Linked DNA regions of Coturnix japonica. The protein of the gene in region 2 purifies or fractionates together with the protein of the main gene of each other region. This does not show direct contact. Links are inferred from orthologs where the notes say so. Each region holds a gene or a part of one and is shown on either strand. Other genes may lie near its edges. The genes, in order: SRC, IKBKB, FKBP5, caspase-8-like, BTRC, RIPK1 and CREBBP.

The links.
Region 1: the proteins of IKBKB (region 2) and SRC purify together in Homo sapiens (affinity purification with western blotting; 3 studies listed by BioGRID and IntAct, with this or other methods). This does not show direct contact. The link is inferred for Coturnix japonica from reciprocal best matches to the Homo sapiens genes IKBKB and SRC.
Region 3: the proteins of IKBKB (region 2) and FKBP5 purify together in Homo sapiens (affinity purification with mass spectrometry; 3 studies listed by BioGRID and IntAct, with this or other methods). This does not show direct contact. The link is inferred for Coturnix japonica from reciprocal best matches to the Homo sapiens genes IKBKB and FKBP5.
Region 4: the proteins of IKBKB (region 2) and caspase-8-like purify together in Homo sapiens (affinity purification with western blotting; 3 studies listed by BioGRID and IntAct, with this or other methods). This does not show direct contact. The link is inferred for Coturnix japonica from reciprocal best matches to the Homo sapiens genes IKBKB and CASP8.
Region 5: the proteins of IKBKB (region 2) and BTRC purify together in Homo sapiens (affinity purification with western blotting; 3 studies listed by BioGRID). This does not show direct contact. The link is inferred for Coturnix japonica from reciprocal best matches to the Homo sapiens genes IKBKB and BTRC.
Region 6: the proteins of IKBKB (region 2) and RIPK1 fractionate together in Homo sapiens (co-fractionation; 3 studies listed by BioGRID, with this or other methods). This does not show direct contact. The link is inferred for Coturnix japonica from reciprocal best matches to the Homo sapiens genes IKBKB and RIPK1.
Region 7: the proteins of IKBKB (region 2) and CREBBP purify together in Homo sapiens (affinity purification with western blotting; 3 studies listed by BioGRID and IntAct, with this or other methods). This does not show direct contact. The link is inferred for Coturnix japonica from reciprocal best matches to the Homo sapiens genes IKBKB and CREBBP.

What each region holds. Positions count from the first base shown.
Region 1 is NC_029535.1:4,438,571-4,442,787, forward strand, and holds the start of SRC (proto-oncogene tyrosine-protein kinase Src), read left to right. Parts: upstream 1-1,417; 5' UTR 1,418-1,681; intron 1,682-4,217. UniProt on the Homo sapiens protein: Non-receptor protein tyrosine kinase which is activated following engagement of many different classes of cellular receptors including immune response receptors, integrins and other adhesion receptors, receptor protein tyrosine kinases, G protein-coupled receptors as well as cytokine receptors.
Region 2 is NC_029537.1:4,085,640-4,089,846, forward strand, and holds the start of IKBKB (inhibitor of nuclear factor kappa-B kinase subunit beta), read left to right. Parts: upstream 1-1,407; 5' UTR 1,408-1,469; coding exon 1,470-1,574; intron 1,575-1,653; coding exon 1,654-1,748; intron 1,749-2,881; coding exon 2,882-2,999; intron 3,000-4,207.
Region 3 is NC_029541.1:463,448-467,423, reverse strand, and holds the start of FKBP5 (peptidyl-prolyl cis-trans isomerase FKBP5), read left to right. Parts: upstream 1-1,176; 5' UTR 1,177-1,237; coding exon 1,238-1,282; intron 1,283-2,942; exon of another isoform or gene 2,943-3,120; intron 3,121-3,976. UniProt on the Homo sapiens protein: Immunophilin protein with PPIase and co-chaperone activities. Component of unligated steroid receptors heterocomplexes through interaction with heat-shock protein 90 (HSP90).
Region 4 is NC_029522.1:9,936,816-9,940,033, reverse strand, and holds part of caspase-8-like, read right to left. Parts: intron 3,117-3,218; exon of another isoform or gene 3,021-3,116; coding exon 2,579-3,020; intron 1,831-2,578; coding exon 1,725-1,830; intron 596-1,724; coding exon 310-595; intron 119-309; coding exon 51-118; intron 1-50. UniProt on the Homo sapiens protein: Thiol protease that plays a key role in programmed cell death by acting as a molecular switch for apoptosis, necroptosis and pyroptosis, and is required to prevent tissue damage during embryonic development and adulthood.
Region 5 is NC_029521.1:19,987,210-19,990,709, reverse strand, and holds part of BTRC (F-box/WD repeat-containing protein 1A), read left to right. Parts: intron 1-1,225; coding exon 1,226-1,322; intron 1,323-1,954; coding exon 1,955-2,092; intron 2,093-2,543; coding exon 2,544-2,662; intron 2,663-3,500. UniProt on the Homo sapiens protein: Substrate recognition component of a SCF (SKP1-CUL1-F-box protein) E3 ubiquitin-protein ligase complex which mediates the ubiquitination and subsequent proteasomal degradation of target proteins. Recognizes and binds to phosphorylated target proteins.
Region 6 is NC_029517.1:63,195,276-63,198,302, forward strand, and holds part of RIPK1 (receptor-interacting serine/threonine-protein kinase 1), read left to right. Parts: intron 1-300; coding exon 301-388; intron 389-1,214; coding exon 1,215-1,760; intron 1,761-2,834; coding exon 2,835-2,906; intron 2,907-3,027. UniProt on the Homo sapiens protein: Serine-threonine kinase which is a key regulator of TNF-mediated apoptosis, necroptosis and inflammatory pathways.
Region 7 is NC_029529.1:11,029,537-11,033,036, forward strand, and holds part of CREBBP (CREB-binding protein), read right to left. Parts: intron 3,420-3,500; coding exon 3,233-3,419; intron 1-3,232. UniProt on the Homo sapiens protein: Acetylates histones, giving a specific tag for transcriptional activation. Mediates acetylation of histone H3 at 'Lys-18' and 'Lys-27' (H3K18ac and H3K27ac, respectively).

The DNA.
Region 1 (4,217 bases), on a different chromosome or scaffold from region 2:
ATTGGAAAGCACCTGCCTTTCACTTCTAGTTTCAGCCTCTGCATCCCTCTCTGCCCTGCCCCCCCACCGTGTGTTTTTGGTGCTACTGAAAGGTGAAGAGAAAGAAGAAAGAGGTTTCAGGGAAGGGAGTGGAATGCCTCACAAAGAGCATGGGTGGGATGGTGAGAAGAGCAGGGCTGGGAGTGGGGCAGGAGGAGAGGGCAGCTGGAGGGCTGCAGGTGAACGCGCCTCGGGCACAGAGCTGAGCCGTGAGCCGGGAGGGCCCCTGCCAGGGTGCTGCGAGGGCACGTTGCTGAGCCAGAGCCCCAAAGAGGAGAGGCTGGATGCCAGGAGTGTCTGGTGGCCATTTTCAATGTGGGTCTGGGCTCAGCCCGTGCAGCAGCACCTCGGGGCTGGGGCCGAGCCCGGTGCCCGGGGCTGTGCTGCCTGCAGGAGGCTGCGGGGCTGTGGGGCTGGGGCAGCCGCTGTGGGTGCAGCATCCATCCATGCCCTGCTATGCCCTGTAGAATTAACAACACCGAAAGGACTTTCCACGGACACCAGGCTGCAGTCTGGGGCCGCAGCCTCCAATTCATGCAGGGAGCGATGATCAGGCTGCTCCTGGCAGGAAGGCCCCCCCGTGCGATGCGCTGGCCGGTGGGGACGGCTCGGTGTGTGCATGACTCCCGGTGACTCATGGGTTTGTTGGCCCTCGGCAGTGTCACGGGAAATATTTTTTTAATAACTCAAATGAGCCGGGGGAGGGGTGCGCACTGCAAACAAACTCAGTCACCCTCCGCACTGATTCTGAAGCGCTGGAGTTTCCAGAAGCCCCCGCTCTGGTCGCTGTGAGGGGCAGCACGAGGGGTGGGCACGACGTCCACGCTCGTGGCTCCACGGGGAGGCTCACGGCACGCTCTTCTTTCCCTGTTTATTCCCCTGCGCTGAAGTTTTGCCTCCTCCCCGAGATCAGGGGGATGGGGACGAGGATGCAGGAGGGCGCAGAATCCATCACAAAGCGGCTGTTCGCTGCGTGCCCCGGTCGCTATAATAAAAGCGAACCGCAAAGCAGCCGGGTTGTAACCTCAGTGCAAATCACCGCTCTCCTCTCGCCGATCCCGGGCGGGCAGCTCGGAGCCGAGCTCAGAACCGCGCCGCGCTCCCACGCGTGGCCCCGCCGCGACCGGGCGGCTCCGGGACGGGGTGCGTCGGTAGAGCCGCGGGCGGGGGCGGCTCCGGTCGCTGCTCCGCACCCCGCCGAGCCCGGCAGCCCGGAGGCTTCTTCCTTAAAAGAAAAAAAAAAAAAACCCGAGGGGAGGGGCTCGGCGATTTTTCTTTTCTTTTTTTTTTTTTTTTTCCTATAAGCCGTTTCCGGTTTACTGCTGCCATATTCCTAGTTTTTTTTCCCTCCCTGTGGGCTGTTCCCCCCTTACACACACACACACACACACACACACACACACACCCCGTACAAGGGGTGATCGGGGGCGGGGAAGCGGCGCTCCGGATCCGCGGTGCTGCGCGATGCTGCCGGCGGCGCAGCCCTGAGCGTCCGGCACGGCCCGGCCCGCGGTGCGGGCACCCAGAGCGGCGGCGGCGGCTGCGGGGGGCGGCGGCCGCGCCCCCGGCACGGAGACAAAGCCGCGGCCGAGCCCTGGAGGGGAGCGGCGGGGTCCGGCCTCGCGGGGCGCACACGCGGGAGGTGAGCGGGGGCTGCGCGGGGTCCGGCGGCGGGGATGGTCCCCGCGGGGTCCGGCTGCGGGGCCGGCGGGAGATGCTCGCCGTGCGGTGGAGGATGCCCGGGTGGCAGCGGGGCGGCTCCGTAATGCCCGCGGTAACGGCGGGGCGGCTCCGGGTTGCGTGGGGCGGCCGTGGGTCCGGCGGAGAGTGCGCGGGGTCCCGGGGCCGGCTGCGGGGCTGCCGGGGGATGGGGACGGGCCCGCCGGGGGAGCGGAGGGGGGAGCTGCGGGGTCCGGCCCCGCCTGCCCGCACTCCCCTTTGTTGTGATCGGGGGCTGCGGGAAACACTGGGAGAGCAGAGCAGGGAGAGCCGGGCTGTGTGCAGGCCGGGGCATGAAATATTCATCGCCCCCCTGCTTTGATGTCTCCTGCTCCGTTTCCCTCTCGATATTCGCTCGTCGGTGATTCGGGGCTCGTGTCCGCGCTCCGCCGGGCGTTCGCTCTGCCCTCGCCCGGGGAGGCTGCAGAGCCCCGCGCTGCCCGGGGAAGGGCTGTACCCGGCCGGCAGGTTCTCCCGGAGCAGCCCGGCTGCTGTGCGTGTCTCCGCCGCGAGGAAGCACCGTGGGACTTGTCTGAACCACGCCGGGGCCTGGGTGGACTTTCCCCTGCTGACCGTGACCCCATGCAGTGCGCTCGGTCCCCGGCTCAGCCCCACGGCAGTTTGGTTTCCTCTTGACCGTCCCTTCTCTCTGCTGCCCGGGAGCTCTGAGGGTACAGGGAGCAGCTCCCGTGGGTGATGTTCCCCCACTCAGTGGTGTTTGGAGCCCGTAGGGTGCTCAGTGCCTGAGTGCTGGGAATGGGACAGCACTGATCCAACAGCATCGGATGTAAACGGAGCTGTGGGAATGTGGCAACAAAAGACTCAGTTTGGTGTTTTTCCTCCTTCCGTGCTGGTGCTCACCCCTGTCCCCAGGGATGTGATGGGGCATGTGGTGGGATGCCGGTGACCTTGTGCTTGGGAGCAGTGTGATGCTGTTGTTCCCCTGCACTCTTCTGCAGGATGATCCCCTGCTGCTGCTGCTTGTTTGTGCTGCTTCGTGCTGGCTCAATGGTTGGCCCATGGACAAACCTCTGCTGCTCAGTGTCTGAGATGAGGCTCCCTGGGGAGCACTGTGCCACTGTGAGCCTGTCTGTGATCCCACTGCACCTCTCCTTAGCAGGCTGTGGGCTGCACCCATTCCCAAGCTTTGACCTTATCTTCTTAGCTTTGGATCTTATCTGAGCACCTCGTGCTCAGGAGCTTCCCCAAAATACAGCCCGGTGATTTTGGAGCTGGGGTTGCTTATGGGCCATCACAGCAGAGGGATGTGCAGTGCTCGCTGTTAAGATTGTCAGTGGCCTTGCAGTGCTCCCTGTGTGATGGAGATGCCCTACAGATACCTCTGCTTTTGAATGACATTGTCCTGGAGTGACTCAAGATCACCCAGGTGGGTCTGTCTGTCCCAGCACAGCGAGGGAAGGGGCCGTAATTTGCAGAGTCTGATGTGTGAAGGCTCTGCTGCATACACAAGGAACAAACTGGTGGCACAGAGGGGACATGGGCTCCGGGCTGGCTCACAATGACATGTTTTAATGACCAGTGAGCACGTGCCACGTCTGGATGGAGAAGGGGTTGCAGCAAGCCCTGGGCTGGAGCACTCAGTCCACGTGCCTAAGGGGAAGCACAGCCGTGCATCACTGCTGCCCCGCACCACCCCAGGCATGGCAGGGGAAGCACCAAGGGCTATCTGCAGCACTATTGCTTCCTGTACCATCCGTCCTGCAGCACGGTTTCTAACTTGGCCCTTTATCTCTGGGAACCATTTCCCAGCTGACCTCACTTCCTCAGAGCTTCTGAGCTCAAAGCCCTCTCGGAAGTGTGGATGCAGGGTGAGCAGTGTGGGTCAGCTCCCTGGAGTGTGATGCTGTGTGATAGTCTGCTCTGCAGTCTGCTTGGCCAGGGGAAAAAGGAGCTGGTTGGTGTGGGCCATATGCTCAGTGCAGCCCTGCTCTGGTGCTGTGACCTTGGTGTGAGGGAAGTGGCACTGCTTTGCACATGCCTCTGCACATGCACAGGCTGAAAAGAAAGCCTTGAAACAGATTTCATGTGGTTTGAACGTGGGCCAGGAACCAGGACCTGTAAATCTGCGTCTTGCTCTGACTTCCCTCCAGGCTACGGATCTCCTCACTGCCCTCCTGGGCACAGAGCTGGGAATGCTTGGGATGCACTGGGAGCTGCCGGGGGGGGCAAAGCAGTGCTGGAGATGTGGAGGGGATGAAAGCAATAGTGGGGATACAGGGAGGAGAAGCTCTGGGGAAGCTGGGGTCTGGCTGGTGGCTTTGCTTCAGACCTTATGGGGGGCTGCTCCCAGCCCCAGGATGGCTGTGCTGTGCAGAGGTGTGGAGGAGCTGGAATACCCACAGTGTAACGTGAGGGGTCCTGTCTTGAGGTCTGCGTTGGTGAAGGGTTTGGAGAGGAAAATGGGGAACTGCAGCACCCGGAGATAACACAGTCTCACC
Region 2 (4,207 bases):
CCAGAGGTCTGCAGGCTTAGCTGTAGTGCTGAGAAAGCCCTGCTTTGAGCTGGAGCAGCGTGCTGCACTGCAGTGACATCCCCTCGGAATCTTGGGCACAGAGACCTTGTGTCACAGTGTGCCTCAGTGTTGCTGGAATCAACTCCCAAGTTAATTAATATCAATGAAGAAATGTTAGGACCTCTCATTTTCAGGACGTAAGTGCACAGAATCCTCTGTCAGCAAACATGCTGAGGGTCATTTTGCACGTTGGCAAAGAGGAAACTTTATCTTGAATGTTTAAGTCTTTTCTGTATGGAAACCTGTGTCAAGGTTGTCATATGCATCTGCACGTGTGAACATAAGTGCCATACATCTGCTTTAGGAACAAATGGGACTGTGTTGAGAAAGGTTGGTTGGGCTCTGCTGAACAAACGGGCTAATTTCTATCTCTTTTAAAGATGATTTTTTTTTTGCTATTGGAGTTCTAAAGTTCCTAATGAAGTAATGGCTTCCAGTGAGGATTTCAGAAGTTGTTATTTCCCAGCTTTTTGAGCTTAAGGTCAGCTGTAGCTTTCTAGAGAGTGGTGTGGGTGCTCTGTGTGCTTCTTACTGTGCTTTAGGAAAGCAAGCAGTAACAGCACCTTCCCCATTCAGCAGTGTCCGCTGCTTTACCTCCCAGCTGATCCTGCATCAGGACAGGGTTTTTTTAGAGGCTGCTAAGTTAGGATCCCTACGTACTGTTCAGCTGCTCAGGTGCTGCCTGAAGCCTCTGCTTCATCCCCGGTTGTGTTTAAGAGCTGTTTGGGTGTGGTACTCAGGGATACGATTTAGTGTAGGGTTTTTAGAGTTAGAGTACTATGGTTATAGGGTACTATGGTTATAGAGTACTATGGTTATAGGGTACTATGGTTATAGTGTACTATGGTTATAGAGTACTATGGTTATAGGGTACTATGGTTATAGGGTACTGTGGTTATAGGGTACTGGTTAGGCTACGGTTGGACTTGATGATCTTCAAAGTCTTTTCCAACCTGGGTAATTCTATGATTCTATGATTCTTTCAGTTCCACACCAGGTGCAAAATGCAGGAAGTGTAAAAGGCTTCAGAAACGTGTTTTCTTGCTTTATGTTGCCTGGATGTTGTGTTGAGGGATATGATTTAACTGGGAAGTATTGGTGATGGTTGGACCGGATGATCTTCTAGGTCTTTTCCAACCTTGATAATTCCGTGATTCTGTGGTAAGTACCACATCATTTTTACAATACATACCAACCACGGAAGGCGGCCCTACTGCAGCCTGAGTCCTACGTCTCAGAGTTTCTTCATTGGAAAAGCTGAATTTATTGCTCCTTATCGCCTTTGTAGCCCTCACTTGACGGAAGGCGGTCGCGGCCCCTTTAAGGCCGCCTCGTACCACGTGCCTCCGGAGCCGGAAGTGCCGGCGGAGACGGCCCAGGCCCCGCGGAGGCGCCGCGCTCCGTCCGCCATGAGCCGCCCGCCGGCTCTGCAGGCGCAGACCTGCGGCCCCTGGGAGATGAAGGAGCGCCTCGGTACCGGCGGCTTCGGCAACGTCATCCGCTGGCACAACAAGGTAGGAGGCGGCCCGTCCCGTCCCGCTCCGCCGGGCCCGGCCCGACCGGCGCTCAGCCGACCCCGCGCTGTGTCCGCAGGAGACCGGCGAGCAGGTGGCCATCAAGCAGTGCCGGCAGGAGCTGAGCCCGAGGAACCGGGAGCGCTGGTCCCTGGAGATACAGATCATGAAGAGGTGAGGCAGATAAATAGAGATCGTGAAGAGGTGAGGGACATAGAGATCGTGAGGAGGTGATGGGGAGCAGCGGGGCCTGGCGCTGCGGGACGGGCCGAGTGGAGCCCAACGCCCCCGCGCTGCCGGGCCCGGCCCTGATGGGCGCGTTATAGAATGACAGAATGACTCGGGTTGGCAGGGACCTCAAGGATCATGTAGTTCCAAACCCCCCTGCCTGGCAGGGCCACCGAACATACACATTTACTAGATCAGGTTGCCCAGGAGACCCCATAGATCCCCATAGAGACACCATAGACCCCATAGAGACTCCATAGATCAGGTTGCCCATGGCCCCGTCCAACCTGGTCTTGAACACCTCCAAGGACGGAGCATCCACAACCTCCCTGGGCAGCCTGTTCCAGGGCCTAACCACGCTCCTATGAAGAACTTCCCCCTAACATCCAACCTAAATCTTCCCTCTTTTAACTTAAAACCATTTCCCCTAGTCCTGCTATTGTCAGCCCTTTCCAAGAGTTTACTCCCCTCCTGGGAGTAAGTTCCCTTCAGGTATTGAAAGGCTGCAATGAGGTCACCCCGCAACCTTCTCTTCTCCAGGCTGAACAAACCCAACTCCCTCAGCCTGTCCTCACAGGGGCATAGGCGTTATAGTAATGGCTGCACTGAGGTACGGGCAGGAGGGGCGGCTGGTCCGGCATGGAGCGAGGACGTGCTGAAGGTCTTTGTTATTCCTGAGAGCTTCGGGTCTAAGGCTTTCCTCGTAGCAGCTCTGCTGTGTTAGCATCTGCACAGGGCTGTGCTGTGGGGTTCTGGGTTGGTTAACACGGGGTGTTGGGTTGATTAGCTCTTGCTAAACAACTTGCTGGGGGGTGATACCGGCCCGGCGGGGCATTGAGCTCGTCCTGTAGCTCCATGTCACACCTGTGATACATCTGTGGCACACATAGGGTGTGCAAAGAGCTGGAATGAGTTTGTAGGCCTGTGAGGGATGGATAAATTGCAGGCTGTTAGAGCTGACTTTCAGTTTCTAAAAGCATTAATGGCCTTATAGGACTTAATGTGACAACCATGACTGTGTGAGGCTGTGCAGGTGTGGTTCTGGTGCGGTGTCCATTTGCCTTATTTCTGTTTCTCAGGCTGAACCATCCCAATGTGGTGGCTGCCCGTGATGTTCCTGAGGGAATGCAGAAGCTTGCACCGAATGATTTGCCATTGCTGGCCATGGAGTACTGCCAGGGTGGGGACCTCCGCAAGGTGAGCTCACCAGGTGCTCCTGTGAGGTGCCAGTCATTCACTCACTGTCCTCTCCTTCCCAGTGAGATGGGGGAGAGAACTGAAAGACAAAAGTGGGACTCGGTGGGTTGAGATAAAAACTATTTACTGAGTCAGAGAATAGATCATTATTATGACAAATAAGCCTGGAAGAGCCGGCCCTCAGCCCCTCATATCCTGTTCACCATCAGTTTGAGTCAGCTGTCCTAATCCTGTTCCCTCCTAGTAACTTGGGCCTTTGCTGAGAATGGCCCTTATGCTGTGCAGTACTGCTTAGCAGCAGCTATAAACGTTGGTGTGTATCAGCATTGTTTTTCTTATAGAACCAATACACGGTGTCATGCCCTGCACTCTGAAGAACGCAGTACTGTCCCAGCTGCAGCTGAGACAGGTGGTGGTGGTGAAAGGTTAAAAGCTGGATTAGCTTCCCAGCGGAATGGAACCTAGGGGCTTCTTTTTAGGAGTTTCTCTTTAAAGCATATTTTCATGTTCTGATGCTTCCTAATTCTTTATGTGATACCAAGAGGATTTTACACGTTAGTCCTTGATAAAGTTCTGAAAATCTCTAGTGCTTTCTGAGGCTTTTGACTTTTATTTGTCTGCAAGTAACAATGCAGCAATTTTGCATGTAGAAGATGAGAGCATGTGTGAAGGATATGCAACAGGATTTGGAGCACGTCCAAGACCATTGTAGCTCAAGGTGCAGGCCCTGTCTGTAATAGGAAAAAAATACAGTTACTAGTGCTGCTTCTTATCTTACTGCTTTTTTAAACCTTCGCTATAACCTGCCCATAGATGAGACCTGTAACTTACAGCTGACTTTGCTATAACCTGCCCATAGATGAGACCTGTAACTTACAGCTGACAGTGCTATAACCTGCCCATAGATGAGACCTGTAACTTACAGCTGACAGTGGAGCTGGTATTGCTAGGCTCCAGGGGAAATGCTTATGAAGGACCCAGCAAAGTTGCAGTAACACTGACTTTCCACTCTCCCTTTCTCATCCTATGGATGCACTGAGGCTTGAAGCCCTAATTATTGCTAGGAGAGGTCCCAGCTCCATGGTTTTGTCTGTAAAAAAACAAACAAATAAAAAAAAACTTAATTGTTCATGCCTGAACATCTTGTGTTTTGAGAATACGTGGGACTGCGATCCTTCAATGGGATATAGGGTGGAGAAGCTGTCATT
Region 3 (3,976 bases), on a different chromosome or scaffold from region 2:
CTCCTCTCCTTTTTCCTTCCCCTTCCCCTTTTTCCTTTTTCCTACCTTTGGGCAGAAGGCTTTGCCCTCACACTGTACATGGTGTGGGAGCACATCCCCAGGTTGTCACCCCAAGGGTACCCAGGTGTCAGCATGCCCAGCTATCACTTGGGGTGCCCAAGCTCAAGGCTTCACCCTGATCCCTGTCCCCACCAGGGACAGCCATATGCCAGAAGGATGACTGACGAGGGACAAGCAGTGCCCTGGCAGCTGTGCGGAGCCTTCAGAGATTATTCCTGGAATTTTGCTCCAGAGGAGCAGATTTCCTCCTGGGATGGGGCAGGCACTGGGGGGGAGTGGGAGGGAGCAACACACCCAGCACCAGGGCTTTGCACCCAAACCATGCAAGACTTCCCCCTGTTGCAGTGCCACGCTGCAGCACGTCCCCACTCTTCCTATGCCCACGGCTGTCTCCTGTGGGCCCCAATCCTGCCATCACCTCCCTGCGCCCCATGTCACTGCTGGGGGCTGCAGCTCCGCTCCCAGCCCAGCGCAGCGGGATCTTGCGTAACGCTGTGCTACAACACCCAGGCACTGCGGGCGGGTGAGGCGAGGACAGGGCTGCACCGTGCATTTCCTGGCATGGGGAAGTTGACGTCAGCTCGTGCTCTTCTAACATCGAATTTCCTTACAAACACCAATTGCAAAGTTGGGCTGGGGGAGGACTGAGCCCCCCCACGCCGCGCTGCTGCTACAGCCGCTGGAAGGGCTCTGGTACAGACACCCCGGTGCCCTGCTCCAATGCAAAGTCTCGTACACGTTTAGTTTTCTCTGCACGTGAACAAATGGAGCGCCGCAGTCACGCGCAGCCCAACGCAGCCCCCACAGCTGCAGCTTTGTAGGATGTTGGCTTCAGCGCGGGATCCTGCACGAGGTGCAGCTGTGTCAGTGATGCCCCACACACTCACACTCACACTCACACTCACACTCACACTCACACTCACACTCACACTCACACTCACACTCACTACCTGGTGGAGAGAAACGCAGTGATTGGAAACGTCTCGGAGCAGGAGCCGGGATCAGCGGGTCACACCGCGGGGCGGGGAAAAGCTCTGATTTGCATACCGCCTCCACTCCGGCCAATGAGAAAGCGTTGCGGGCGGTGTGGAGCAGACGGGCGGACGAAGCTACCAATGGGAGATGGGGAGAGGGGCGGGGCGAAGCGACGGGGAAACCCGGCCGGCGCGGGCGCGCGATGCCACTTCGGAGCCGAGCGGTGGCGGAGCGCGGGCGGCAGCAGGTGGGGCTGGGATGGGGGTGATGGGAGCAGCATCACGCGTGGGGCCGGGATGGGGGTGATGGGAGCAGCATCACGCGTGGGGCCGAGCCGTGTCGGTTGTGGAGTGTGGAGAGGGGGGAACGGAGCGTTACGCCCACGGAGGGGGCGAGGGAGGGACTGAGGTCCGTAGCGCTGCGCCTTTGGGTGCGCTCCGCTCGTGCCCACGGAGCAGCGCATCCCTCGCGGCAGAACCGGAGTCGGACTGAGATCGAGTTTGAGATTAGGATCGGGATTGGGGTTCGTCTGGCGACTGGGACCGGGATTAGGATTGCGATTGGGGCTGGAATCAGGATTGGGATTAGGATCGGTATTAAGATTGGGACCAGGATTACAGTTGGGATGAGGACCGAGGCCCGTCGGTACTGCAGTGTCCAAAGAGGGGATTTATTCTCAGTCAGAAAATGAGGCTGCTGCGCGGTGAGGATTTAATGAGTTTCCTAATGGCATTGACCAAAAATACCCCCGAGTGCAGGCAGCAACGTGCAGTTTTATTCAGGGCAGGTGCAGCAGCGTGGACAAAGTAAATGGGGCGTCTGGTTCAGATCCCACTGTTTCCTCTGCCTGTAGTGGTGTGGGTCTCCCAAATCATCTGGATTTTGTGTTTGTTTTTTCACCCAACCCACACCTGGCAGGATGTGCTGCTGTCACCCCAGCTGTCCCCTGGCTGTTCTGACCTATGGGAGTTACAAACTGTAAGGGGTAACCCAGGGTTGAGCCAAGTCAGTGTCCCCGTGGTGCTGTGGCAGGGGATGCCGTGTGAGTCCTGGACCCCATCGTGTGACATTACACTGCCTTGGTGGGCCAGGATGTGGGAGAAAGCAGGGAGAAAATAGAGTGGGAGTAGAAGATATGGGGTGGGAGGAGGAAATATGGGGCAGGAGGAGGAATGTAGGTTTCTGTGGAGGTGCTGGAGATAGTGATAGCTGCTGGAACCCTGGGAGGGAAAAGTGCACCCGATGGTGAGATAGTAGGGAGTGGCTCTGGATGCAGCCATGGGGTGAGCCTGGAGGTGGTGCTGGAAGAAGCCTCTGTGATGGCTGTGGTTTGGCTCCAGAGGTGGCCATGGGGCAGCCATAACAGGGCCCTGGAGGTGGCCACACATGGGACCCGGTGCTGGGGAACCCGCAGGACACGGGCTGCATGTTCCCGTGAGGTCCCCTCCCCTTGGGACGAGGAGGGACTGGGGTCAGTTCCCTGTGAGCAGGGGGAGAGCAGCACCCGAGATTTCTAGACAGCAGACCCCAAACCACCCTGCTGAGAACGCCCCTGTGCAATTAGGTGGGTTTTAATTGCAGCCAAGCAAAGGAGAAGGCTCACTAGGAAGCTTGGAGGTGCTCCACCTGGACACCCGGGCCTGCCCACCTTTGTTAGTTCCTCAAGGATAATTAGCTGCTAGATGAGCCCAGGGAGAGGCGGTCTCAAGTTTGGCCAATGCTTCCACCCCATTGTTCGGTGCTGATAAAGGCTTTGCTGAGCTCTGAGCTGTGCCACTGCTTCTCGGCTAGTCACTTTCTATGCTAGTTACCACGGGAGTCTGTGTGCTGCAAGGAGGTGGGGAGATGCATTCCAAAAGCATCCCTGGGCACCTGCATAGCGCCTTGTGTCAATCTTTAACCCCCAGCACAGGGAGAACACCGGGAAACACTGCCCAGATAGGAGCAGACCTGCTTAGGAGCTGCAGAAATTGGGGGTAAGGTGCTGCTAGTGGTGTGTTCTGCAAAGTGGGGAATCTCCGGAGCTCTGTGAAGGAGCTGCTCGCAAACAGTAGTGCTGCTTGTGGAGAATTGCCCTAATTAAAGGTATTCCCACTTCAAGGAGTTTTTAAAATTTACGTTAGTTGCTTAATTAAATCAAACTAGCCCTTGGCAGTGTTGTCTTGGTTGCCAATAACAGTGTTTCTGGCTGTCAGCGCAGTGTGCACTGTTGGTGTGTGCATCACTGGTTTGTGCATACTGGTGTGTGGTTGCACACGTGGTTGTGCACACGTGGGGTATGCATTTGTATGCATAAGTGGCTGTGCACATTGTGCATGCACGTGTAGTTGTGCACATTTGCATGCGTGTGTAGCTCAGCAGAGGTCCTCAGAACCTGCTCTTGCAGAAGCTTCCTTGCATCTGACTGCACCTTCACCTGAGCACTGCTTTGTGCAGGCAGAGGTGGAGGTCTGTGCCCCATACAGGTGTGCATGGATTGATGTTCTGGGATTTCACTCTGTGCTCTCAAAATGCTGCTGAGGATGTAAGTGATGAAATAGAGCCCCCTATTACTGGAGAGCTGCTGCAGTTGAGGCTCACCTGGCTGAAAGGAACCGGTGCACTGCAGAAAGCCCTCTGTTACAAGCACTGAGATGTCTTTATCAAAATCTAATGTTCTTTCCTGAATTTATCCAGAAGAAAACTCTAACTTGGAAGAGACCTGGCGTACGGGAAATCCCTTGCTTACCCCATGCTATAGTGACATGTGCTCCTCATGCATGGGGATGTGGTGCAGCAGGGATGCAGCAGCAGAGCCCAGTTAAGTTTGTTCCGTGGCCTGCAGGCTGTGTTTTGGTGTGCAAACAGGAGCAAATGTGTTGTTTTTTTCAGCCTGGAAGGAAATGAGACCACGTTCCCCTCTGTTGTGTGAGCAGCGATGAGCTCGTGGCAGCTCTGCTGC
Region 4 (3,218 bases), on a different chromosome or scaffold from region 2:
GTCTCTTCTGAGACAAAATTGTGACATTTCTAAGACACAAACTGACTTACCTGTGAAGACTGATCACAGTTGCCCAGAGAATCAGGTGCCACAGATGATGCCAGCCATATGGCACTGTCTGAATACACACACAAAACATGTATAAGTAAACAATTAAAAGGGAGTTTAAAGCGCTGCAATCAGTTAGTAAGCAAAAGGATGCCTGATCATTGTCAGGCACATGCTTAAAGAGGCAAGATGTAAGCAGTGTAGAGAGTACAAAAAGCTGGAAAAGATCTAAACATTCATTTTTGAAAAAGTTTCAGTTACCTCTGGGGGCTCCTGTGCTGCTTCTTCGCCCCTCTGTTACAGGCATCTCTCCTTCTCCTGAAAAGCATTCATTATTAGTCCTGTAAGACACCTTATGTATCGCTTCAAGAATAAAATGTGTGAGAAAGAGGACTTGTTTTGTTTTACCAAATGTGTTAAATTCATACTCTTCAATTTTCTTCAGCAGGCTCTTGTCCACTTTTTCACAAATACTCTTCAGGACAGTTAAGTCGTCTTCTCTCAAAATCCCCTTCTTCTCCATCTCAATGAAAACGTCGAGCATTGTCTGAGCAATCAGAAAGGTAGTTTGCTCTTAGGGCAGACCCATGCTGCTACTGAGAAGGAAGCTGCAGCATGTTTAGGTGCACCCAAACTGGCTTTAGTGTACCAACAACACAAGTAAACCACTGTCAGTCTCACTGCCTCAGTTGATATCTCAAGCTGATTTAATTAAATGTAGGCTGACAAAAGCTAGGAGTACAATGACTAAAACTTTCTTCCTAAAACACACTTATTTCCTTCCCACTGCTCAGAGATGCTGAGAGCTAATAAGATCTAACCCAAGAGAGTTAATAGTAATCACACAGGAACAAATAGTGTCATTTTTAATGACTCCTATCATTTACCTGACTTTCAGTGGCATCTTTGTGCCTTTGACTGAAACCTAAGCATCACTGTAGCAAAAATGGTATAACCATGCAAATATGGTATAAAGAGTTCTCTGAAGAAAGAGAGAACCCAAGGGACAGAAGCTTTTGCTGGAGTGGCAGAGCGCAGTGGGTCACCTATGGATTTACTAAAACAGCCACCACTGGATAGGCACAGTTTATCCTCTAAGAAAAGAGGGAAGATTTTAAAAGAGATTTCATTAGGCAGAACAAAGTACCTGACAGTCAAAAGGGCAGATTGACATAGTATTCAGAGCAGCTGGATCTCTTGCAATTATGTAAGTTAACTCCAAGATCATGGGCCTTAGCTCTAGTAAGGATGTCTGCCTAGATCTGTTTGGGGTTTTCTTGTAAGAAACCAAAACATTACAGGAATAGCCCTAGTAGGTGATTCTTAATTTGTTAATGACTTACTTAGAAAGCAGCCAAAATTAAACCAGCTGGAAAAGATAAATGGAAGTGCTCAGCCTTCTACTGAAGAAAGCCAGTCAATCCTATATGGAGTTTGGGTGTGCAGGCATCATGCCTGGCCCAGGGCTGGCCTGTTCTTTCTGGGCTGGAGAAGTACTGCTGGAGCAACACATAACACTGGCATGCAACAAGTCCTCTGTGCACCATTCCAGGTCCTTTCTTTTCCTTATGGAAAAGGAACACTCATTCCCTTCAGTGCAACCTAAATGCTGCTATGTATTATAGCAATGATTTAAGGAATCAAAACAAAAGAAAAACAGAACAAACAATTCTTACAGTTTCAGGGCTTAGCTTGCACTTTGGTAATTCTTTCCACAAAAGAAACTTGAAACACTTCATCTCATCTTGGGTGATGTTTTCTGACAGCTGAAAGAGCAGATACCTAGAAGGAACAGTGGAGGACAGTTTCATTATGTTCTCCAGCATTTTCCTTAGCACAATTTAACACCGTACCATTGAACCATCCCCTCAGCTCCCCCAGCTGCCTTCCCGGGACAGCTTTTTTTCTTTTCATCTGAGGACGTTAGTCCCAGAACAGACAGAAGTCAAACCATTCCAAGCTGCAACTAAAAACATCTGTTTTCCCAAAATCAGAATTGCACGGAGTGTTTCTGCGTGAGACATGAGGGCAAAGACAGTCACACCCAGTCACTGACTGCAGCCCAGAACACCCAGGCGGGGAGGCCATTGTAGTCTGCAAATTATCTCAGAAGTGTAGAATCACCAAGGTTGGAAAAGAGCTGTAAGAGCATGTAATCCAACTGTCTACCTATTGCCAATATTTTCCCACTAAGCCATGCCCCTTAGTACCACATCCATGTGTTTCTTGAACACCTCCGGACACAGTGACTCAACCACCTCCCTGGACAGTCCATTACAGTGCCTCACGTCTCTTTCTGAGAAGAAAGCTTAGTCTTCTCTTCTATTTGACAGAAATTGTCTCTGCTGCTTATACCCGCTTTCCTTGGAAAGATGGAGATGCTTGTGTTTTGCCAAACCTTACCTGGTGCTAACTCATCAGTAAATATCTTGCACCTACCCACCCAAGCAGGATAGCTGATCCCAAGAGTGCAACTCTGCCAGGCTTTCACCCCCAGGACCCTGATGAACGCGCACTGCCAGCTGCTCACCTGAATGGAGACACCCGTGCCCTGCCTGGGACCTGGAGCTCCCTCTCCATCTCCTCTCGGCTGGAGCCCAGGTGGAAAGCCAGAAGGTCTATCCGATTGATCCGGTAGAGCAGCTCCTTCAAGAAGAACAGATCCCCTGCTTCGATCATCCCTTTCTCCTGTAATGCTTGGAAGAAGGCCTTGGGTTCCTCAATATCTTCCTGCTTTCTTACAGTGACGTGCTCCAGGCTGAGAAACTTCAGAGACGCCAGATCATTCCTGTCCAGCGCCTCGCTGATCACGTAGAGCAGCTGGGAGAACTCCATCTCCCCGCAGCAGCTCCAGCCCTGAGCTGGGATGGGCACCACTTCCTTGTGCACCCGCGCTTCCGTGCTTCCGCCCACTTCGTCCGGCGAGGCAGCGCCCAGGCTCCTGGGAGCTGTAGTTCTGTCTGGATTCCTGGCTTAAAAAAAACGCAGTTCAACTCAGAAACTGCTTGTCTGCCAGAGAGGAGCTTTCTGACACAGCTGAGGCCGTTTCCGTTCACTGTTACAGAGCACTGCTTAAAAAAAAAAAAAAAAAAATAGAGGCTGAAGAAGTAGAAAATCCCGCTGTACGCTTGGCACGGCTGGGGGGAGCACAGGGGCCGGCCAGCGCTCAC
Region 5 (3,500 bases), on a different chromosome or scaffold from region 2:
GGCCAGTAGTAGTAATTTTCTTGCACTTCCAAACTGGATCATGTAAGGACCCACTTAATTGTTGATTTGTGTGCAGCCATATGTCCCTTCTTCACAAAGATTTGTCCCCAAACAGGCAGCTGCTGGTTACTGTTTGAAGGCTCAGATGATTCCTTTGTCCTAAGTAGAAAGCAGCTTTCTCTTAATTTAAATGTAAAGTAGTTTCCCTAATTGTCAAAAGATCTTTTCTGGAGTATTTGTTGTTTTGTTTGTTCAGTCCTATAGTTGACCTCCCTGTTTATACCTAAAAACTGTTATGATTTAGTCTGGATTTTGCCCAAAGTACGTAGCCAGTTAATGCAGTCTCTCAAATGACTTTCAAGATAAGTTATATGGAAAGGACAAGAAAAGAATGCACAATGAAGTATTGAGCAATTAATTATGCCGTAATGGAGTGAGGGAGGGGGAAGTGGAGAGCTGGCCCAGTCTAAACTCCGTGCCTCTGATGCCAGGATTACACTCGGAGGCATTTGTGCCTCTCTCCATTTTGCGAGGCATGTTGCCAGGCAGAGCTGCAGTTAGTACGCCCATGGTGGGGTTTACTAGCTTCCACACCGTGTTTGGTGGCTTCTTAACTTCAGGATGAGGAATTTAGGTTTTTTACACAGCAGGTAGTGATTGCCGTTTATGGATTTTTTGTTGTAGCAAAAATCTAGCTTGGGATATGAGTATTCCAAATCAGTGTGGAAATGAGGAAGGCACCACAGATGAAGCGTTGCTTACCAAAATGAAGTAGCAGCAGTAAAATGTCCGTGTTCCAAAACTAGTACTGTTCCTGTTAATGTAGATCAAAGCTAGTCCTGAGTGCACAGAGAGCTTGAGGGTTCTTTGGCTGCTCATTTTTTCTTTGTATGCTTTATTTTAAAGGTGACCTCTGATATGAATATGTATGCAGTGGGTGTGAGCCATTCTAACCTCCTATGGAGCTGAAGGGGCTCATGTCCAAAATAGTACGTTATCCTTCCCTGAGTGAGGAAGAACTGCTTTGTCATGAATTTTTCAGTGTCTAAATGCAGCATCAACGTGTCACAGGACACACAAACAAGGAGCCACCCTGTGTAACTGAGTAAATGAAGTTTGACTGTGAATCTGTGTGTGCTTTTCAGCAGCGGTTACCCGTTTCTGAAATGCCAGGAAGACCTTCCTCACAAATGCTGAGACGTGATCTGTGTTCTTTGTCTTCCAGGGGACAATACCTATTTAAAAATAAACCCCCTGATGGGTCTGCTCCACCCAACTCCTTCTACAGAGCACTTTACCCCAAAATTATACAGGATATAGAGGTAAGAAGTACCTTCCAGGTGCGATGGGCTTTTTTGTTTCATTTTGCCTTTTTTTAACAATCTCCCTCATTTAGTCATCATGCTCAGATTCTGTGAATGTTTAATGCTGATGGAGTATTTCATTAAGTGTGGTGTGTCTGTGTTCATCAGGAGTTGGAAGATCTGGGCTACATATAAATTCCCAGGCCTTCATCACTGCCTTAGAAAGAGGGGGAGCTGCATTGTTTGGGGAGTCTCTACACTTTGCACATCAGATGTCATAGGAACACTACCATCTTGACTTTCTCTATTCTGTGGTACTTTGCCCCATCCATGCACATGAGGTCTTTCTCTGCAATTGTTTAGTAGAGTCACAGAATTAAAGGTTGGAGTTTGAAAAAACAACTTTTAGGTCATTGCTCCCTCACCATGCCAGACCATGCAGGGAGTCTGGCCACAGTGTGTGTTCCAGGCCTTTGCCTGTCTCATTGGTTTCATCACACGCTGCTGCTTCTAGAAAACTCCTGTGTCATTCTATGGGCCTTGCTGCTGGAAAAAGTGTAAAGGGAAGTATCTGCTCTCTTCTCAAGCAAACAAAAGGAGAGTTTTGTCTTTGGTTTTTACTTCTATTTTGTCTCCTGTCTCTCCTCAAGACAATAGAGTCAAACTGGAGGTGTGGAAGGCACAGTTTACAGAGAATCCACTGCCGGAGTGAGACAAGCAAAGGCGTTTATTGTTTACAGTACGATGATCAGAAGATAGTCAGTGGCCTACGAGACAATACTATCAAGGTGAGAACTCTCCCGAATGGCCTGCTGATGGCACATGGTGCCAGTGCCATAAACAGCAGTGTCCTAATTTCAATGACACCTCTCCAACCTCTTGTTACTAAACAAGCCTTCTCCTTCACCCCTTACCTAAACATATATACCTTTTATTATTTGCCATCAGAGACTGTTTTCTTTCTGAACAGAATTAGTTAGCAGACTGTTTTCACTCAGTAATTACAGGTTATATGCTCTGCCCTGATGAGGAGGCAAGACCAGTGTTCAGAGCAAACCTCGTAATACCAAAGGTGTTAGCATATTACAACAGCCTGCACATCATCATGCCACTGAGGTAGTTCTGCCTGCATTGTAGATGATGCCTAATAGTGAAAAACAGACCAGTCAGATCACTAGGTGCTTAAAGTGTGATGTAAACCTTACTTAGCTGTCTGTTCTCTAATGTTTGCTCTCCTAGATCTGGGATAAAAATACATTAGAATGCAAGCGAATTCTCACCGGACACACGGGTTCTGTCCTGTGCCTGCAGTATGATGAGCGAGTGATCATCACTGGATCTTCAGACTCAACTGTCAGGTGTGTGCTTGTGATTCAGAGCTTTCCATTTGCCTCAGAAAGTTCAACTTTGCAAGCTGCTGAAATGATCTTTTCTTAAATCTGTGCTGTTTGATTAGCTCTGTGATCTAGTTCTGCACGCTTGTTCAGGAGTGCACTGTCCTTGTTTATCAGATGTCCGTGCAAGTGGCTGTCAAGGAGAAATGAGAACCTAAGCAAAGGTCAGTCAAGGTGGAGATGACTTAGGAAGACAATTTGGCATTTCACCAAGGTGCTGTGTGTTTGGATGCTCCCTGGGAATGCTTTTACATCCTCCATAGGAATAACTTTTTACAAGTTGGTTAAGTACTCAAAGCAAGTTTGAAGGTTTAGTCATCTGCTGTCCCTTAATTTTAACAAAGATGTGTGACTAGATCTCCTGTGAGTTTTAATTAAGTTTCAGCATGATGTTTCTTCCCCTTCAGTCTTTCTAACCTTGTTTTCTTTCCAGTCTCCAGTAAAAGGCTGGACACCTCAAGTCAGCACACACAGTGCACATTTTCACTATGCAGATGTAAAGTCCAGCAAACATATTACAGGATCCCAGAGAGCCTAAATCCTGCAGTGTAAATATGGTCACACTTGAATTAGTGAGTGAACTTGGACACAAAGGAGCAAGTTTGCCTTCTCCATGCTGTTACATATCCCCTTTTTGTCAGAGAATCAGCAATGCCCATGCAGTGAAGTTACAGATGACAAAAAGCTGTGCCAATGGCCTTTTCTGAAGCTATTACCATGTGTTCCTATGGCTGCAGGCAGCTCGTGGTTATCACTGTGCTGCATGTGAACTACCACCGTTAAACTAGTGACCACTTCATTT
Region 6 (3,027 bases), on a different chromosome or scaffold from region 2:
TATGAAATGTATCCCTATGTGCCAATTAAACTTATACTCATTTAGGTAAATGGTGTTCTCTGGCCAGCTCAGAATTACTACAGTTGCATTACAGTTCTTCCTCCTTTCACTGAAGATAAGATTTTGCCCATCTGTAGCAAAGCAGCGGCTATTTTCTGCAAGGCTCTGTCCTCTGTAAGATTGATGGAATCTGTTCACCCAGGTGACTTCAGTATAAGGATGTGTTTTCTATTCTATAGGTGCTTCCTCTCGTTAAGCTTTTACCTATAACTTGACCATATGCTCTTTTCTTACATGTAGGAAATGTGGCCCAAGTCAGAAGAACTGCTGCAGAGGATGAAATCCCTTCAAATAGATGCTGTAGTAGATACCAGCAATGGCCAAATAGGTGGGTGTTCCAAGTTGCATAACTAGCACATCATCCTGGCATGTACTCTGCTAAAGATAAAGTTGCCCCTTTTGTAGCTATGGAGAGACTCAGTCATTCAGTACTTCTAAAATCCAGTAGAAGTCAAATCCTACTAACTTTGCCCACACCACTGTAAAGATTTTATTAAGCAAGTAACTTGGAACTATAACAGGCAACCGATAAACCTTCACCAAAGCTATGTTTGCCATAACAGAAGTAGAACTATTGGACCTAGTAAGGCAGGCCAATTGCTGTACTTTTAAAGTAGCGTAGGTACATTTCCCTAGCAAAAATAATAATGTAAGACTACAGATTACAGATGCTTTTGTGCTTTTTTTTGGTGACATCTCCAGATAGGATTTCTACATAATCTTTTGCAGATATGACTTCAGTGACAAATTATTTGTGTTGCATTAAGTAACGCCAATTACAGTGAGTTCTATCTTCCATCTTGTTATACTCTGGTCTTACACTGGTTAAATACCAGTTAATGAAGTCAAGACTTGGTAGTAAATTAGACCCTATGAGTGCTGCTGGGAACCTGTTGTTTCAGTGACTAAGAACCTGGTGTCGATATATGCAGAATACACAGTGAATTCAGACACTGCTTTCCTAAGCATAATTCAGTGACACTTCCCAGAAAGGGAAGTATTACATAAAACAGCTTATGCTGGAAGTGATGCTACAGTTTCATCTTTTATAATTTACCATAGTATTAAAAATAAATTAATAGAATCTAATGTCACCACTAGTTATATACTTGCAATAGAATCTGTTTTAAATACTTCATTTTTTTCCCTTTCAGATCAACCTAATTCTCTACACAGCTCTCAGGGTCAGATTAATGAAGCCTTGTTTGCTGCCTACCCTGAGAACCAGCCTGTTGAGAGCTGTGAGACTTCGTTTACATCCCCTGACAATCTTGAAAGAAAACTTGAACGTGAATACGACTACCATGCATACGGCAGCCGGATGGATAAATCAGTAGCTCCACCATACAGCCCTGAAATGAGAGAGAGAGAAACGAGACCTAAAGTTTCCAATGATCCATTTGCAAAGCTGCCTTCTGTTCCTCAATGGGGTGAACTGTATTACAAAGCTGAAAATATAGGATCAAACACTAACCCTTGGTTTTGGCCAAAACAAGCTGCAATACCAACTCAGGGAAATTTAGAAAATTTTTATGGGCCAAACGTTAACAGTCTCCTAACAGGAAACACTGAAGATCGCTATGATCCATGTTCAACAAGTGCCTTTAGCCTAAGCAAAACTCCTGTGCCGGAATCTCGCCCAAACCTGGGGGCACAGAACAGCGTAAACCAGCAACAAAAGAATGCAGATGTGGATACAGGTGAGATTCTTCCTCCTCTTAACTCTTGTGTTTCTGAAAATGTGTTTTTTCCTCTAAAGACAAAGCAGCCTTAATAATAGCAGACAGTGGATAATACTGCAGCAGCTAACAAAACCAAGAGCTCTTACTAATCACACTTGGAAAACTAAGGAGTATTTTTGACTCACAGAATGTAACATTCACACCACAGGCTGTGTGCGCAAAAATGGAACTTTTCTCATGTATGTGCATGTAGCATTTCAGAAAAGAGATATTTAAGCTTGATTTGCAGCAAGTTAAGAGTTCAGGGAGCTAACAAGGAACTAAAGCTCTTAACTGGTTTCTCCAGAGAACACTGCTCAGTGCTAACACAGAGATGCCCTTACAGTTTGCTAGTGAACTGTGGAATAGAAAGCTATGGAGAAAACGAAGAGAACAGTGAGTGTCAGTAACAAGTGGAAGCAATCATTGTAGGGAGGCAACATACAATATCATGGCAGGCATCAGGCAGATGCAGAAGACCTGCACTGCAGTTCTTCTATTGTCTTATTTGGTGACCATAACCCAGTCACTCTTACTGCCCAGTCACAAACTGTCAGAGCTCATCTGAGCGCATCCAAATCCATTACTACATCAGACAGGAAGTTACATCTCTGCAGGACATTATTGCTACCAACAGAAGATACGGTGGCATCCCCAGCTACAGCTGGTCACAACTAACATGCTAACAAACCATGATCAGTCTCAGCAGTAAATAGCAATGTGCTCGGCAGCCTTCTTGGTTTGGAGGCAGTAATACCTGTGTCTACGCTGTGATCCTGTGCTGCTTTCTGCCAGGCAGGTGTTCATACACCCATGTGGAATCCTGTTGTTCTCACTGGGATCCAAGGATCACAAAGGCTATCAGTCCATAAGCAAAACCACAATAAGGGTAACTGCTTCAGAGTTATTAAAGGAGATAAAGTCCTGTTTGTTAAAAAACTTTCTGTCTTTTTGTATTTAAGAGCGCTATGCACACTGTACAAATAACAGCAGTACTTGTAGATTTGTTTTTTTTAATTTCCATAACACTTCTGGCATTTCCTCTCTCTTTAGGTATCAAGGTTTCTGCCTCTTTCACAAGGGGAACTTTCACATATTATCCTCCTGCAACTCCAATAACCAGAGGTAAATGCTGTAGCCTTTGTTTGTCTTGGTAGCCAACAGTTTATGCATTGCATTACGATCAGTGAGGAAAAAAGCTTCAGCATCTTCATCATCAGGCTGCCCAGGGGGGTGGTGGAGTCTC
Region 7 (3,500 bases), on a different chromosome or scaffold from region 2:
AACACAGTGAAGCTCCACCATCCAGAGAGGAGACCAACAGCATATTTTCTCCTTCTCTTTTGACACTGTTGGCTGCTCCTGTGTCAAGATTCATCCAGCAAAGGAATCCCGCAGAGCCAGCTCTCCAGAAGGTAACCAGATGTCCTGAGAGCTGGCACAGGGATCTCCTGGCCGTGCCATGCAAAGAGTCCCGGTCCAATGGACTGTTAATTGATTTTCAAAGTGTTAATACTTCCAAGATTTACATGCATCATTACAACCACTTGGCAACAGTGGCATGGCAACAGCCATGTTTCTTTCAATAGTGGATGACAAGGACAAGAAAGGCAATGCATTTTCTGAAAAATAATGATAACTTGGAGAGCTCTTTGAACATCTCAGCAGTGTAATTACATTTATTTCCTTAGGAACAGGGGCTTTAAATAGGGAAGAATGCCTATTATTCAGGAAAAAAAGACGACAACTAAGAAGAGCAGGATGGCATTTAATATTTATCTACCTGGCTGAAATGAGAACAATACCAATAAAAGGGAGCAATTAGGAGTTCTCTTGAAAGCACTTAAATCAATAGGGCTACAGTGACCCCTCTGAGGCTGATCATTGCTTTTGTTGTTCAGACTGTGCTTTATTAAGATACAGACTGGCTTGAGGGGGAGGGAAAATTCTGGTAAGAAAACAAAAAAAATATATATTTTTGTAATTTTTATTTTTTAAACTTTTTCCCCTCCTTTTTTATTAGTGGTTTATTTTTGAGAGGATTTTTTTTCCTCTCAAAACATGGGAAAAAGGCATTAGAAGTTAAGCTGACTCAACTCAAGACATTCTGAAGCTTTACGCTCCCTATGTTTTCAGGCATCTGTGGATGCTGAAGCTCCTGCAAGTTGTAAGTCAGGATGAAAACAGTCCCTGCAGAGCAAATGGAAGCTGGAATATAGTTTGAATGCATTGCCTGTACCTGGGAGAGGATTGCTGCTCGTGCACAAGTGGCAAACTAACACAGCTCAGCCAGCTAAATCATGGCAAAGGGCTACGCAAGCTGACACAAGGCTGCAGCAAGGCCCTGCTGTGGGCCTGCATTGAGCCCCCACTAACTCTGTTCTTATGGCACCAAGCAACACAGCCATGACTTCAGCTGATCCACCACCTCACTGCTGACAACACAGTAATTTGCTTCCACTACACTTTCCCATGCAAAGAATCCTTATATATACTCTCAAAACTGTATAAATAAAGTTGTATTACAGAATTCAAGAACAGTGGGAAACACAGCGTAAATACTATGTATTATTTCTGCAACTGTTTTATCCACGTACTTTATAAACCTGATAATTCAAATGACTTCATTTATTTGAATGTCAGAACGTACCTTTTAATGACCCATTCTGGACACCTTGACACTGCTCTAAGAAGTCTCCCTGCACTGACCCACATAACAACAGCTAAAGAACCTTTCTAAACAGATCTGATCCCAATTTAAATCGGAACAACAGAGCTTCAGCAGAACTTCTGTTAAGTAACTCACAGACTAAGCATCATTCCTGAAAACATTTATCATCTACTTTCATATTGGTTTACAACATATGTGTATTTAAAATCCAGTTATTCAGAGTTATGACTTCACTTAAAAATATGAAGAAAAGTTGCCTTCATCTTTAACTCCTAAGGAAGGTGATTAAAAACAGAGCATTCGATCACAGCATCCCTCTGTCTGCAGGTAAATAGGGAAGTCACTGTCACTCTTCCTCACTTATATGCTCCTGGTTCTCCTCCTGCAGCACATCTCTGTAAGGAGCACATCCAACTATCCCTATTTCGTCTTAGCTGTGTAGGTGGTAAGAACAAAGAGGGATCTCTGCCTGCATCACAATGTGCTCCCTGACAAAGAACAGTAAGGCACCCCCTTTTTTAACTCCTAAAAGAAGTTTCACTTCTTCAAACAGGAAATTTTGCTTATGGTTACTAAGGAGAAAATCCTGAAAGGAAGATGAAGATGTCTTGAAAATAAGGAATACACTGAGGAACCTTCCCTCAACCCAGACCTTTCATTATTACGACCTATAACAAAGGAAGAGACCAATAAAACTCATCCTGCAGGCCATCACACTATAAGGCAGGCAGCTACAACGAGAAGAGGTGATGGGAATATTACTTCTATTGAGAAGACTGCAAGGGAAGAGGCAAGCAAACAAAAGCCTTCCCTTCAATCTATGGTGTTCAATACAACTCCCATGCCATCAGGAGTCTCAAATACCAATGGAAAATGAAACCAATGTAATGAATGAAAAAACATGAGATGAGTCTCGTAAGCAGTTTTAAGATACCATAAAACCCTTAAGCACACTTCACTGTATTTGCTCTTGAATACTTCTTGGTTTATTTTGTGTTTAAATGCAAATGCTCCGTTAAAGCTGGATAAACTACTTGGTGAGGAAATGGCTCAGTTTAAAATTGCGTATGTAGTTATACCTGCCTGAGCCACACATATATTACACTGTATGGCTACTTAGTGACAGCATTTCTATGACAAGAACAGTGTTACTAAAGGAGGTGTTGGAAACACAAGTAACCCAGACTGAATCACCAGAATGACACAGTGCAGCTCTGCCTCTGTAAGAACCATCTTCTCCCAGCTACTGACCTGCAAGAACACTTAAGGAGAAGCAATGATTCTTAACACTGGGAATTCAACCTGTTTGTAACTGTTAGTTTGAAACAGGCTCTGCAGCGCACTCTGGTTTGGTTGGCACATTGTGTTACAAACTGAAATTCACATCCACTGCTTTATTCTAAGAAGACTATGTCTAATAATTAAATGCAATGCAAGGTATATACAAGAGATCAAGATTCAATCTCTACAAACTAAAACTTTATGATTTCTTGGGCACATCCATGCATCTGTGATGTTATTCTAATGTAATCCTATGTAGCTTTCTTTCAAAGAAAAGAGCTCCTGTGAAAGAGCGTTGGCCAAGATGTACGGGGAGGGATTCATGCACATCACCTGAGCAGCAGCCACTTCCTTACCACCTGAGTCCTTCTGGGCAGAAACTGGAAACTGCGAGGATACTGCTGGCATCAAGAACACAACACGCTGCTCCCACCTCTGATTCAAGTAACATTAAAGGAATTCTACTTTCAAAAACAAACGAGCCCCTCCCAGCACAACACAGACCGTAGAAAACAGAAGAGCTCTTTAACAAAGTATGCAAGAAATCAGTTTTCAGACACATACTTTTTTTGCGGGGCTGAGATGGTGATGTGGATTGTGAAGTGGTTCCATTTGTGCCACTTTCCTCTTCCTCCTTAGCATCTACTTTTATTTCAGGCTTCTTTTCTTCTATTTCCATTGGCTCTTGTTTCAGCTCAGTTCCTTCTGTTTCCTCTTTTGTTTGTGAAGATCCTTGTAAATCCTCCTCCACCTTAAGAAAGGAGGCAATAAGATGCACTGTTACACCTCTGACCCAGGCTTCAGTCCTTTAAATATTAGCTTATGAGATTGT